Styela clava: one gene and its partner. The protein of the gene in region 2 interacts with the protein of the main gene of each other region in a pairwise test. Links are inferred from orthologs where the notes say so. Each region holds a gene or a part of one and is shown on either strand. Other genes may lie near its edges. The genes, in order: histone deacetylase 11-like and COP9 signalosome complex subunit 5-like.

Region 1 (8,156 bases), on a different chromosome or scaffold from region 2:
ATATATACGGTTTCATCATTCATAAAATCATGAGCATATCCATTCCCTTGATGCACATCCAAGTCAATAATCAGTACTCTATTCACGCTTGGAAAATTCTTGCACAAATATTTAATGTTTAAAGTCACATCAGCATAAGGTGAAAAACCAGAAGGTTCTGATTTTCCTGCACTGCAATGATGTTGCCCACCACCAAGATTTATTGCCCATCCATGTTCCATAGCAAGCTTTCCAGCTAAAATTGAACCACTAGCTTGAACTCGAAGTGGTCGCATTATTGACTTTTCAATAACAGAGTATGGAAAAATTGCTAATCCAGATATTCCTGTTATTTTTGCAATGGTCTTGGATCTTTTCAAGCTCTCCATATATTCCTGGGTATGAACTTCTTTCAACTCTGCTTCCGTAATTTCAACAGGAGTGGAGAATGAATTAACTGTCAAAATTTTTTGTGCAATAAGTATCTGACGAATATTATTTCCTTTCAATAAATCAAATTTGCCCATTTTTTCTAATCCCATGAAGCGTAGATTATATTCCGGACAATGAACCATAGGCCACAAATCATTTTTGTGCAGGTCAGAACTGCCATCCTCCCTGAGTTCAGTACTTGCACCTTGGCCCATACTGATATACTATGATTATTAATAATATAAAATGAAGTGACAGTGATAAAAATTTAGTGCATAAATGTGTAAAACTTTGTAATAATCATTTTATACAGTATATAATAAATGAAAAATAAAATTGTAAGAGGGAAAATGGGTATCAACGTTGAACACTTCAATTCCATTCCACAAGCACTTAAAATAACAAGTGCTTGAAAAATAATGGAGAGTAAGGTTTTGGCGAAACAATTGAAATTTTGAAAACTAAAAGAAATATAAAACTAGCATTTACATCAACATAAACTCAAATACAACTTATCACTTATTATTTTTTTTTATTGCAGATTTATGCATACTATTGACAAATGATAAATGCTTTCACATTGACAGTGAAATTGATACAAATATCCAAATCTGACTGCACATTTCTAATCATAAACTATGTTTTTAGGCATATAACATATGGCTGTCCTCGATAAGCATATGAAAATGACCATATCATTGTCATGTGTATATTCATGTGATGAAAATTAATATTGAAAACTATTTTTCAAAGATGCGATAAGCACAAATCAAATTCATCAATCAAATCAATCAATCAAATCCATAAACTCAAAAATATGTAAAATCAACAAAACCAAAATTTTTGGAAAGAGCATTTACTAGAGAAATGAATAAATACTGTAGTCTGTAGGTATTGCATTTAATCTAAATTTCATGAAACAAACAGAGAAAAATGCAAAATCGCCAATAAGGTTTCGATTTTGATACCGAGTTCGTTTGTTAAAGATTTACCACAAGAAGAATTATGATTGTAAAATATGAGTCAAATTAGTCTGACCACTTAGTTCAAATCAGATTAATTTTGTCATTTTCAATTGAACACTACATCCAATGAGGCAATTTGGGCTCCATAAGACATTTGTTAGTTGAGTTATGGATTAAAGTTGAGATGATGTAAGTGACAAACAAAAGAATAATATAATTTATGAATAATATATGTCAATAAACACAGTAGGCTTTTTCATATGAGGTCATTCGAGATATTTCAGGTATCAACTATAAATGTATATTATGATCATGGATGGAGTTAATGATTGCAAAAGGAAGTATGAGAATCACTGTATAGAAAGCTTCCTGCAACTGATATCACATTCATTATTCAGAATGCAAAATATTTTTAGGTCCAGTTATAAATCCATGACTATTGAGATTGAAAATTGAATCTGCTATTATTGCTGCAGTTGATCTTTGGTATCCACCAGACGTGAACATAACAATTGGAATTTTGTTTCTGTGGGCCACTTCAAAAACTATTTGATCTCTTTCAACAATGCCATTAGGTGATATATCAAGACAACCAAGTGGATCGCCGCTGAGAATGTCTGTTCCAGCATTGTACACAATATATTCAGGATTGAACAGTTCAATGACTTCAGAAAGGTTTTTTCTCACAAGTTCCAGATACTTTGAATCACTCGTTCCATGCACCAATTCCACCGGACGAGAAATGGCTAATTTAGCACGCTGATCATTCGGATATATTAAACGATTATACACATCGAAAATGAAAACTCTTTCTTCACCCATGAAATCATGAGCATATCCATTTCCCTGGTGAGCATCAAGGTCGACAATCAGGACTTTGTTTATGTCTGGAAAGTTTTCCCACAAATAACGAATGTTTAAGGTTATGTCAGCATAAGCACAAAATCCTCCTCCACGCTCAGCAGAGCAGTGATGAAATCCACCACCAATGTTAATGGCCCATCCTCTCTCCATTGCCAACTTCCCTGCCAAGATTGAGCCACCCGTTTGCAATCTAAATGGTCGCAGAACTGAGCGTTGAACAAAGTAATTAGGCAGCATTGCAACTGGTGGAACTTCCGTGATCATTGCTACATTCGCACTCCATTTTAAACTATTCAAGTATTTCTGGCTGTGTACTTTTTGCAATTCCTCTTCTGACGCTTCTAAAGGCTCAACAAATTCCCCAGGCAATAACATTTTCTTATCTATCAGCATCTGATGAACTCTTCCCCATTTGCCAGCATCAAATGGATGCAACTTTTCCATGCCTCCAAAACTTACATTGTAGCCAGAACTGTAGACTAATGGCCAGGCTTGATCCGAAATATTTAGATACAATCTTGGAATTCTTTCATTCGACTTATCAAAGCTTCTACTGTTGGGTTTATGTTGATTCCTGCTGGGTTTTAAAGGTCCTTGCCCCATATTTCGTACAGTCATATAATCCTATGCAGCTATAAGCATTAAAACAACTACTGCACTGTGACTAGGGGTGGGAAATGTTGAATAATTTATTACGGTATTTTAGAATACTCAAATCAAATCCAGAATACTGAATCACGAAATGGACGTATATATAGATAGTTTTGATATTATGTTCCTGTGGAATAAAATGTAAAAAAAAATTGTAAATGTATCAGTCTTCGCGTGTAATTGAAAATGTTCCGATCATTGGCTCAGGCCAATGAAATTCGATAATTTCTGCAATATTTTTTTTTTATGTAAAAACAAAATTTTATAATTAGTCACAAGTTATCACATTTTTTTTTTGACCTAAATTGCTTAAAAATTTTCCTGGCAGCATTACCGCTCGGTTATTGAGAAGACAAAGTTTTGCTGCATTATTAGGCACTGTATTGGGAGTTTTGATATATATGTGTGGTGATGTTTTGTCCACCACGGCACCTTCACCACAGTATATGCACGGCCAGTCCGAGACAACTGCAACTTATGCGCCGTAGCGGGTACCGCGCGGCGGTGTGGCTCAACGGGCTAAGCGTTAGGAATACGCTCGCCAGCGCACCTCTAATTACTCTGCGTGGGTTCGCATGTTAGAATCCCATGCAGGGATGGTTATGTGCGAGAGGATTGCTGGACTCCTCGCCGTCGTTGGGTGGTTCACGTAACCGCTGGTCGGTTACGGCTTCCTCCACCACCAAGTCCATGCTTCCGAAAACAAACAATACAGTAAAAACTAATCCCATACCCGACTTGGAATGGTAACCGGACGAGAGGCCGTGGTTCGCCATATGGATAAGCCGTCTTATCGGCTTTCCTCTACCCCGGGATAAATATGTAAATCCTATCCTTCCTTCCTAGTCTTCGCGTCAATTACGGGTGCAAACTATTGAATTTAATCGTAGTAGTATATATTTACGATTTAACCACTATCAATTATAATCAAGCATGGGTCAGCGTGTTTATTCTGTGAGATTAAGACCCGTAAAATAAAGTTACCGTAATCGTGATTTCGTACTTAACATGTAATAACATCCGATAACGAATCGCAGATTCCCGAGAAGGATGTAATTATTTGGGAGTGCAAAATAAATGTGACCAATATTTTGTTTGTGATGAAACTTTGTATTTTCGGAAGAGGCTTGTCGTAAATGTATTAAATCATTGTAAATAATATTTGATATAAATTAATCGCAAATAATGTTATAACATTTAACGTCTGGCTTTTGGTTTAGAATCTAATCTAATCTCTGATCTAAACTTCAGATCAGGGGTGCGGCCCGCAAGGGAATATTGTGCGGCCCGTAGAGAATTTTCAATGGTGTGCGGCTAAATTAGTTTTTACTTTATTTTGATCTGGTTGGGCTTCAAAGATAATATCCGAGTCCAATTTGCTATCTGTGCCTATGACGTTACAACGTCTCAACAGCAACGCGATTCACAAAGCTGCCACTTGCTGAACTGCGAAAAACTTGAAAGGAAATGCGGAGCAGACGCTAATGAACTTGTATGAACGAGCAATCGAAGATCAGGAAACTGGAAAGCAGTTTAAATTTTTAATATCAAGAGATGCAAAAACTAAATTGAGTTTGGTTCCAGTCTATCAGTTGATTTTGTCCAAATCTAATCAAGAATAAAATTTGACAGCAAATTATTCGGAAATGAATCTTGGCGTACTTTACCGAAAACATTTCAACCAAGATAACTTCCCACATTTGAAAAAGGTCATGGCTTCAAATAGGGCACTTTTCGATTACATCTTTTTGTTCAAAAACGGGCTCCATATCAAATTCGTATCACTTTCATTTAAGCAAATTTGGATAAAGAATCTAGCAGCAAATTTCTTACCGAATTCGTATAAAATGGATGTAACGATATATTTGAACTACAGTTTAACTCATCATTCCTGCAAGGACCCCCAATAATGACGATTTAGAATCAATAACATATAGACACTATTATGTGCCTACAGCTAATAGAAAGCCTATTGTAATGAAAGTGCGGCCCGCGGTTTTACCCCGTTATTGATATTTGGCCCGTCTACGAAGAAGGTTGCACAATCCTGCTTTAGATCATTGTTCTCGGTAGAACTCGTAGGCCGCGAAAAATCATTTAATCTAAAACGGAGCATGGTACGTCTGTGAGAAATTAAATTTTGTGGGTCATATGACATGAATAAAAATTGGTATACAAAATTGGGCTAGATTGTTGAAATCAATCACTAACTAGGTCGTAAAGCTGGAGAAAGAGAAAATGGTGCAACAACAAGTCTTCGCCGTGAGGCGTTTGTTCATTCATGGGAGTCTTCTTGATCTGAAGCGCTAAGATTTCCGTGTTTGACGTCTACCGCTTTTAATCAAACGAGAGAAATTTTGACGCAAGACGAAAAGCTCATCTCTGATTAATAAATTATAAAACCGGAAATACAAAAATTGACGAATGCTTTTAAAGAAGCGGAAACCAAATTCAGTTATCTGATCCCCTAATTGGATCCGAATCCTCCAGATTCGATATTCTGAATTGCCCATCCCTAACTATGGCACTTAAGTGCCACGGACAGAGGCTATTAATTATAGTAGCAGGGAATGGCAATTGGGGCGATTAGGTACGCAGGGCTGGATTAACCTTTTGGAAATATAAGCACGTGCTTAGGGCTCCAAGGGAGAGGGGGCACCGCAGAAAAGTACTATCGAAAAATCTATATTGGTGCCTTAGTAATGGCTATCAAGTTATTTGATTTAAAACTAGTTTTTGAGAATGCACTTGAAAACTGACTCACGCACAACAATGAAAACGAAGCAAGGTTCACAACGATGCTTAGATTAGAGATATACATTTCACAGGTTCTTGTATATACTTAAAACTAACTTAGACTACTTGATAATTTCATCTGATAAAATGGAGGGGAAATTTGATCATAAATGTGTCATTTTTCACAATAAATTCCCAACCCTGATTAGATGAATCCAAAATTTATCCTCGTTTTGTAAATAGTTCTCTATAAACTGAGAGTTAAAAAAAAAGAACCTGTATCAATTTATGTATTTATTCATGTGTTGTATTGGGTGGTAACTGACTCAGATGACCGTAACTGGTCGTATCGTTACCTCCCAGTCATACCGAAGACTTTTGTTTCACTTATTATGTTATTATTATATTTAATATTATGTGTTTTCTGGTTGACGAAATAATAAATTCTCTCTCTCTCTCTCGGTACCGACTAAATGTAGACCGATATATTTAGATTTGAATCTGGTCCAGAATGTTTTAAAAAATTATTTAAAATACGGATGTTGAAATTATTTGTTGCGTGGAGGGATTTTCCAATTTGTAAAATACCAACATATATATTATTGGTGATGTTGACGTTATCTCCCATTCATGTCACTTTTTAAAATGATCACCCGCTTCAACAGCCTGTTGTACAGGCTAATGTCCAGCTTCTTGGACGAAAATAAGTGCACGGAGTCGGAATCCGCAGATTTCAAGATTGTTCAGAGTAGAGCGCGATAGTTTATTGCCCTCAATCTACGTTACCACTGTGAAGCTAGCAGCACTTTCAGCCAGAATATTTTTACACATTGAATATAGGTTCCACGCGCATATAGTGTTCACTTATAGGTAAATATGAAAATTGAAAATGCTGATCAAAATATAATATTGTCACGAAAATAGATGAAAATTTTTTAAACTGAATGAATACATTAAATTTAACAAGAAAATAGTGTTCAAAAAAAGACTAACTAAGCGAAAAATGAATTTTCAGGTATTCCGCAAATACAAAGTTTCGGAAAATTATCCTTTTCGGAACCTCGATTCCTCGAAAACCGCCAATAAAGGCAGCACCACGACACATTTGGAGAAAAGCAGATACCATATTAATTCAATTTTTCTATAACAGAACAGTAGCAGTACGTTTTGGCTTGACCATATATATTACCAAACATATCGTGTAATCTAAATTTTAAAAACGGCATGGACGTAACAAATTTAAAATTGATTTTGTATTTCAACTATATTTGCTAGATAATGGATAAAATATCATTTTCTTTTTGTCACACATTAATACTGTACATCTTTTAAACTTGGAATACGTTGCGGGAAGTATAAAACAGCAAAAAATCATTTGCGACTCCAGGTGGATTCTGTCCTGGATTACAAAAAATTATCGTTTTTAAAATGGCGATTTTTCGAAAACCGCCAATAAAGGCAGCACTACGACATATTCGGATAAAAGCACATACATTATAGATTCGATTTTATTATGCCAGAACAGTAGCAGCACGTTTTGACTTGGCCATATATAATACCAAAAATAGCGTATATTCCTCGATTTTTAAAACAAAGGTACGTAACATATTAAAAAAGGGTTTGTATTTCAACTAAAGTTGCAGGATAATTGATCAAATATCTTTTTCTCTTTGTCGCACATCAATACTGTACGTCTATTAAAGTTAGAATAAGTTTCAGAAAGTATAAAGTAATAATAAAAAAAATTTTGCGCACCCCCTTGAATTAGGTTGAGAATTTCGAAAATTATCGTTTTTGGATTAGTGATTTCTCAAAAACCGCCAATAAAGGCAGCATCACGACACATTCAGAGAAAAGCACATACCTTATAGATTCAATTTTATTATGTCAGAACGGTAGCAGAACGTTTTGACTTTGCCATATATAATACCAAACATAGCGTATACTCTTCAATGTTATGAACAATGTGGACGAAACAAATTTAAAAAGGAATTGTATATCAACTAAATTTGCTGAACAATTGATAAAATATATATTTTTCTCTTTGTCACACATTAATACTGTACGTCTATTAAACTTAGAATGATTTGCAGAAGAAAAGTATAAAATACCAAAAAAATATTTTACGCCCTCTTCGTGGATTCTTTTCAAAATTTCGAAAAATTATCGATTTTGGAAGGGGAATTTCTCGAAAACCGCCAATAAAGGCAGCACTACGACACATTCGGAAAAAAGTATATACCCTATATATTTGATTTCACTATAACAAAACAGTGGCAGCATGTTTTGACTCGGCTACATATAATACCAAAATAGCGTGTATTCTCAGTTTTATAAACATTGTCGACGTAACAAATTTAATAGGGATTTGTATTTCAACTGGAGCTGCGGGAAAATTGATCAAATATATTTTTCTCTTTGTCACAAATGAATACTGTACGTTTATTAAACTAAGAATTAATTGGGAAAGTTTAAAATATAAAAAAAAACATTTTACGCTCTCTATAATGGGTTCTTTTCTGAATTCCG
Region 2 (7,833 bases):
GTCCTTTAGAAGGGATATAACTTTTGTGTTTTACAATACCTATTGGTATCTCTATGGTTTGTTGTCCAAGTAATAATTTTGCATGAATTGAGATTAATTCCCTGTCAGTAATACAATGAACTTAAGTACCGTATATTTGAATTTAAACGTGTCGAATACACATATGACTTATAGTCTAACTTAACATTGCTCCAGAATCTGTGTCCAAATCTGAATTCAACCTGTCATCTTGGTCATTGAAGCCACAAGAACAGCAAATGTAGACTTACCTCCAAATTCTTGCCTGACCTGGCATGCATGACCATCTTCAGTAAAGCCAGTGCAGATATTTTACTGGTTTTAAAATAATGCGGATCCTTTGTCCATGGTTTTGCATTTAACATTTCTTGTTGCTGTTTCAGCTCGTATTTGTAGATTTCGTCGACTGAGTGAACAATCTAAAAATGTTTTTGAATTAGTTAGTGTCGCCAGCTCTGGTGGCATAGTTAAAGTGTTAGAACAGCTTCGCAGATTAAAATCTTGATTCAAGCTGAAACAAAGATTTCGGCTCTTCCAAATAATGGTAGCTCTTCACATATCTCTGGCTGTTTGTATAGAGCGAAGGCAATATTTCAATACAGAAAAATATGAAAATTGTAAATGTCCATATTCAGGAATCCAAATCTTTAAACTTTAATCTCGGCCCATCACCTCACCCAGGGGGTTAATAAATTGGTACACAAAGCTGCCAGAGAACGGTTTCGGTCGTTCCAAATGATGGTAGTTTTTCACACATAACCGACTGTTTGTGCAGAACCCCGTCCAGAGTGGAGGTATTCAAATATATCAAAAAAAACATTGCTTCATTCGCAAGATGTCAACAGCAACATCAAAACTGAAATTTAGACAATCTCTTAGATATCTTGTCACTGAATACTGATTAATAACATTGGCTTGTTTTTGCAGGGATAGAATATATAGAACAAGCATTTAAATTTAGCTTACAGTACTTTCAGCACAGCTGTTAAAAAGTTGGTGGCAAAACAATGATTTTGAAGAAATAAACCAGTTTGCACTAACCAATTCAACAAAATATTTTTAAAATAACTCATAACAAATTTGCCATTAGTGAAGTACCGTGGTTCGCCATATAGTTAAGTCGTGTTATACTTTTTCTACCCCTATCCTATTCTAATAGTAATTAAAAAAAAGCGCTCACTTCCATATTGTTTTGCATTTCCCAAGTCTTCAAAGCCATCGCAGAACCCGAATTTAAAGGCTGGTCTGTCTTTGTAGATGCAGCTCTAGGACAAGAATTTATTTATCAACGAATTTGTTCAGAGCTAAAAGTCAGGAGAATAGCGATAGAACAGTTGCAAGTCACCACTAACATGTTAAAAGATGAAGTTTTCAAATTCATCTCCAGGGGAGGAAAGACGGAAAGAACGCTTTAATGATATGGCAGAACATGGGCCCTTGACATGCTACCAGTCTATGCCAGATAAGGGAATAGTAAACCAGATTATTAGTTTTGAATGAATGAACTTGGTGTAAATATATATTGATTTAGCACAGTTCACTGATTCCAAGAATAGCCCCTACTTAAAAAACATAAATCATAACAGTGATTGCAAACACCTGATTTATGAGACAGTCAGGGCCTCCATACTGGCAAAAATTAGCACTGTGCAACAAAAAGAGAGCGCAATCTGAAAACGACATCATTGGATTCCTTGAAAATAAAATTATCCAATTTACAAGAGGAAACAAATTTTATCGCAGCATACAAGAGTTCCCAGCAGAAAACGGGAATTTTGGCTATGTGACGGCCGACACACCACACATATCATGATTGATTTAGATTACTATTGAGACAAGCATGACACGATCTGACGCATCTGCCGTCATGCCAGACGCCCTCGTTTCAAGGGCAATTGAGTTTGTTTTATTGAACTTAATGTCGGGACATCTTGGATTCGGAAAACTGGAGTCTCCTAAAGTACGCGCCCTCAAGTACATCTAGTGGGCGTAGCATAACGATTTTATTAGTATAATATTCCTAACCCCAACCTGAGTATGGCACCCAAAAATTACATCACTGCGCCGTCACAATCACGTCATAGAGCTTGCTAAAGTAGCTACAATCGTCCGAAATGGCATCTGTGCCGACTATAATGAACTAACAGTCACTAACGTCAGCGATCTCTCTCTTATTGGTATCGTTTTGATAAGAAAACGAGAGAAATAGCCAAACTCGATTTCGGATGATTGTCTGCGCGACCATTCGTATACTTTGTCGAGCCGTATTACGTCACTGCAATGTAATTTTCGGATGACCTAGTCAGGTGGGGGTTAAGAATGACATATGCAAAAATTGTTGAGCCATGCCAGCTAGAAGTACTTGCGGTGTGTACTTCAGGAGACCCGAAAACTGTCCCCTACTGTACAAACATGGTGATGGTGAAGTACTATTATAACAATTCTTATGATCGTATGAGTCAGTTGTTAATATATCTCAACCAGAATTGTTTTATTTTAATCGGTGTTTACTTAAGCTCCTTTCACTTCATTTATAAACCCTTATATGTCCACCATTATTAGTTGTATGAAGCACATCAAAGTCCTTTTACCTAATTAAATACCAGACTTTTATAACACACCCTATATCAGTACATGGGCTTAATCTTGAGACAAGGATGTCAGGAAGTTGACAAAAAACAATTCGACACTGTCAAGGATGATATTCGCTCAGTTGCTTCCTAACTAAGGACCATTGAACCGTAGTACGTCAGAGTAATGACAACTTAATGACCAAAGACTTATTCTGCTATTTTTGAAGTCAAAATATCTCTCCTTGCAAGTCAAAGCTTAGCACAATACGTATCATGGAAAATTTTAGCAATCTGGAACGCAAAATCAAAGACGAAATGCAACATGGGACGAAAAACGGGTAAAACACATCGCAAAAGAGACCTAATATTAGTCATCTTTTACAGTTATTTCCACAAGTAAGCATGTAAAATGAAGATCCATTTATAAATAAGATAATAGAAGCAATCGTACCCCCCTTCTGATGACGTTCCAGGTTTTTCGTCCGACATTGTGGTCGAATTACTTATACAAATTACGTTTGCAAACACGACTTCGTCGATCCAGTACAAGATTACCAAATGCAGAGGTTTTGCTGTTGCCAGATACAATAAAGAAGGGCTGGTTGTGCGAGGTTTGATAAAGAATAACAATATCAATAATCTTTTTTTCCACGTTTTCAATAATGAAGTATTTAAGTTGTAAGATGATTTTTATTTCAAAAATGAAATTTATTCTTTGTGTACATGAAATATGATTAATATTTACATGGTATCATCTGATTATGTGACATGTATTTCACAGGCCAAAGAGTTCAAAGATCATAGGTCATATTAAAATTACTGACCCCGCATCCTTACATTTAATTTTTATAATAATTTACCTCCAAAGAGGATAGCGCCGGCCAGAGAGCCCAATAGAAAAATTCCACATTGGCAATGAAACATAATTTGGCAAAAAAAAAGCCCAATCGTTTGACAAACTCGTCTTCAAACGGTTCAACTGGTAATTCGTCCAAGGCATATGGGCATACATACACAAATCACAATGGTCGGGAGCCCAGATCACTTTAATTGGGCCCACGCAAAACAATATGATAGGATTTACATATTTATCCCAGGGGAGAGGAAAGCCGATAAGACGGCTTAATCATATGGCGAACCACGGCCTCTCGTCCGGTTACCATTCCAGGTCGGGTAAGGGATTAGTTGGCCAGTTATTGGACACGTAGTGGACATAACGATCGTTTCAATATTATGTTGTTGTTGTTGTTCTTGTTCTTTGACACGTTTTCAAAAAGTCGCTTTTCTCTTCGAATACTGGACCAACTGCTTTGAAATTTTCAGTTGTTGAAGATAAAATTTTTCTCCAGAAGGCTATTACTTTTTCGCTATGACGTCATCAAAGTTATTGCCATTGGGTGGCGCTACGTGTCCATATATTTGAGCATAGCTCTCTTGTTTGTTTTCGGAAGCATGGACTTGATGGTTTGAATCAATCACTGTTATTACTGCTGAAATATTTTCTACATTGTATTTTGTTTATAATAATAGTGTTGACTTCGTTTTTGTCGCAATATATCTCTTTCTCTTGGGCTAATCTGCCACGGATCGAATTTCATTGGTACGTAATCGTATCAAGTCACATATCTGACCTATCCATATACTTGCCGTGCAACTAGAACGGAGAGAAAAATTACGTTTCTTCAAGTTTGCATGTGACAGCGTACCATGCGGTTTTTATTTACATTGCATTCGTCTCTGTAATTATTGGACACGAAATGGACATAACGATCGTTTTGTTATTGTTGTTCTTTGTATCGTTTCGGAGAAATCGCTTTTCTATTTGATTACTGGACCAATTGCTCTGAAATTTTCAGTGGTTGAAAATGGAATTTTCCCCAAAAGGCTATTACTTTTATTTTTTGCCATGACGTCATCAAAATTATGTGGCGCTACGTGTCTGTATATTTGAGCATATCTCTCTTGTAAAATTTATATGAAGCCGTTACATTTTGAGAAAAACAAACACACATTTAGTGAGGAAGATCGTATATGCGAACCATCAGTTTTCATATTGCTGTACTATATTTCCGTGCTCGTCCCTGCAGCAACATGTTTTGGCTCAATTTTTAGAATGTGCTCGCCTACATAATCGTTCTTGTTATATTGCTATTCTGAAACACCAAGGTAAAATGACTTTAAATTAGGTTGGATTGTTACCCAAACTACATGAAAAGAACCTAGTCTATTTGCTCATTACCTGCCTGTCTACAAGCTTTGTTTGGAGCACATGCGTAAAACACCCCCAAGGCCCCAAACGAGGCCGCCTTCTTTGCTATTCATAACACTGTGTACATACCTTTGTACATACTTTCACAAAATACAGCACTAGCTTATAAAAATTCAACATGTATATATATTGTTAACTATTCAAATATATAAAATGAACAAAATTCAACAGAAAATACCAACTAAAAACAGCAGCAACATATGATTCAAAGTAAAGTTACAAATACAGATTTCTAGAATAGAACGAAAATGGAGTTCCTCAGCATTGTGAGGGAGAATATATCGATCCAAAATTTGAGAGGAATTTATAAAAAAAAGTTTGTGAAACACTGATTTAGAATCTCAGGCATATTTTTTTCGATTTATCGTCCAGCGGTATAATCAGGCTCGGCAGTGTGGCTCCTTGTGCTAAGCATTTGATCTGATTTCTCTGCGTGGGTCCGCATGTTCGAATCCCAAGCGATGATGGTTATGTGCAAAAGGATTGCTAGACTCCTCGTCGCCGTAGGGTGGTTCACATACCCGCTGGTCGGTTAAATATGTATAAGTCGGGATAAATATGTAAATATCTGAAAATCGCAATAAAGCTGAATACATTTAAAACTAAAGGAACACTATATGACTGAAAAACTAACACAAGATTTAAAAAAAAAAATGTTGGTTAAAATAAGGAAACAACAAAAATATTTCTAAATGAAGAAATATGGCAATTACAGAAAAAAAGATTTAAATATACTTTCTCAGGTGCAATGGAGAAGCAGCTCGAAAAGTTAAAAATTTAAAGCATGAGAAAGCATAAACTTATCCCAGTCAATAGAATGCAATACAGATATAATGTTAAATATTATTAGGCCTTTTTATTGCTTGTCTGTATCACCATACAGTTCTACAGACTGAAATGGTCTGAGCTACTGAAACAAATAAAATAATAATGGCGCGAGTCAAGCAGCTCAAAAGTAACTGTATTTCAAGCCAAATGCTTTGATAAAACTCGAAAAATTATTCAAGATGTCATCCATCTTCCTTTTCTTCTTTAGCGATGAATAACAGTGGGAACATTCCAACTATACAACCGATCAAAATTCCAAATGCTTTGCCCTGAAATTGAAGAACTTATTATGTAATAATGTAGTAAAACAATTCCAAAGGGCCAAATAGTAAAGTCGAAGTCAGGTTTACTTTTCCCAGTCACTAAAATAAATAACAATACCAGTGAAGAGACCAAGCAATTCAAGATTCCTGTTGCACACAAACATGAATGTATTTCTGTAAGGTTTCGTCTGTGTAAACTGCTTGTCTGAAGAAGTCTGATTTTGGTCAAACGAAACGTTACAGAAATACGTTTGTGTTTATGTGCAGCTGGACTCTTGAATTGCATAGCATGGCCATGTTTATTCCTGCTACAGCATCCTTGCAATATACGCATAGGGATCCACTAGGGCAGGGGCGTTGAGGAAGAGTCGGTTAGTCGGAAGTTAGTCTTGTGTAACTTCTACTGATAGTTATAGTAGCGAAGAGAACCTTAGATTTGATCTTGATGAAGTTGCTATCATTAAATTTATAAAATGCTCTAAAAACAACTGCTCCAGGCAAGAATTTCAAATTGCCGTCATCTTGTTTTTAAACCAACACAGGTCGAGGTGAATTCCTCAATTTTTTTTATTGAAGCCATATTTTTACTCTTTTACCGACTCCTTTATCTTTAGTGAGTTATTAATGAAACATGTTTCTAAAACTGTCTGAAACTATGAAAGTTTTCAGTAAATTATGTGCCCATCACAATAAAAAGTCACATACAGTCGAATATTTCCATTTTCCATTTTGAAAAATTTATGTGATTCTGAAATCCTCAGGTATTCAAAAATGCCCAGCCCCAGGTGGGTGAAATGTTTAAATCCGGAACCCACTCACACTAATTCTAAAAAAACAGAAACTTACCGCATTAGATGAAAAAATAGTTGAATTCTGCTCTGCTTGTTCCGGTGTTAAGGCAGGTACTGGCAACCCAAGTTTATAGAAGAGGCTTTCAACATATCCAGCCAATCTAGAGTAAAGAGAAAAGCTTCGTGTTTATCCCTGTATTAACTAATATTTCTCGCACAATAATAAACCTGTGCAGAGGCCACATTATTCATACAGGTTGGCTCAGTGCAAGAGGTCGACCGTTCCAGCAATATTTGAAAAATTACTGATAGAGGGAGGGTTGCAAGTAACCAATGGAGCATAAAAATCTGCGCTTCAGAAGTGTATGCACCAATATGGAGGTAATTAATTTAGTTCGCCTACTTTATGTCAAGTTGTGTAAAGGGACTGAAACCTATGAGCAGGGGGTATATTCATTTGGCTAACACAGATATTCCCTCAACTCGTAATAGAACTAAAACAAGGAAAATCGTTATACAATTATTGCCTGACCCTAACCTAGTTCACACACTACGGGGGTAACTAAAAACCTGTGGCACAAGCCATGACTGCCCTAGATATGCTACTGAATGCATATCACATTGCATATGGTGTTACTCACCATTTTTGTCAAGACTTGTGAAAATAATTTGAGCGAATTTTCACAGGAAAACAAGCTTGGTTTGATCCAATATATGTTAATACAAATCTTGGAACCAGAAGAATTCTGTGCAGAGGTTTTAGAGAGTATATGTTCAATATTATATTGTCAATAATACTTGATAAGATATTGAGATTTATTAGTTTGTCTTGTGATATTGGTCACAATAATATGGAACCATGTTTTTAAAAATTTTTCGCTACATACACTCACACACAGAAATACAGAGGACCCATCTCTTAGCAGAGTTTTGGACAATCACAACAGCTATATGCATCCACTAAGGAAAAAAGAAGACCAGTAAATAAATGACAAAAAATTGAATCTTGCATAAGTAAAATCAGCTTTGCACCTAGCATTGTGGCCCTCAAAACCTCTGTTTTGGAGCAAAGAGTATCATTGCCAAAGAAC

What was found.
Region 1: the proteins of COP9 signalosome complex subunit 5-like (region 2) and histone deacetylase 11-like interact in a two-hybrid assay, tested with the Caenorhabditis elegans proteins (2 studies listed by BioGRID). The link is inferred for Styela clava from reciprocal best matches to the Caenorhabditis elegans genes csn-5 and hda-11.

The regions. Positions count from the first base shown.
Region 1 is NC_135252.1:6,045,351-6,053,506, forward strand, and holds histone deacetylase 11-like, read right to left. Parts: upstream 3,321-8,156; 5' UTR 2,859-3,320; coding exon 1,767-2,858; 3' UTR 636-1,766; downstream 1-635.
Region 2 is NC_135257.1:21,457,379-21,465,211, forward strand, and holds the start of COP9 signalosome complex subunit 5-like, read right to left. Parts: upstream 3,196-7,833; 5' UTR 3,081-3,195; coding exon 3,043-3,080; intron 1,284-3,042; coding exon 1,199-1,283; intron 438-1,198; coding exon 270-437; intron 1-269. Other genes in the region: transmembrane protein 65-like, read right to left, coding at 5,871-5,957, 6,798-6,903. UniProt on the Caenorhabditis elegans protein: Probable protease subunit of the COP9 signalosome complex (CSN), a complex involved in various cellular and developmental processes.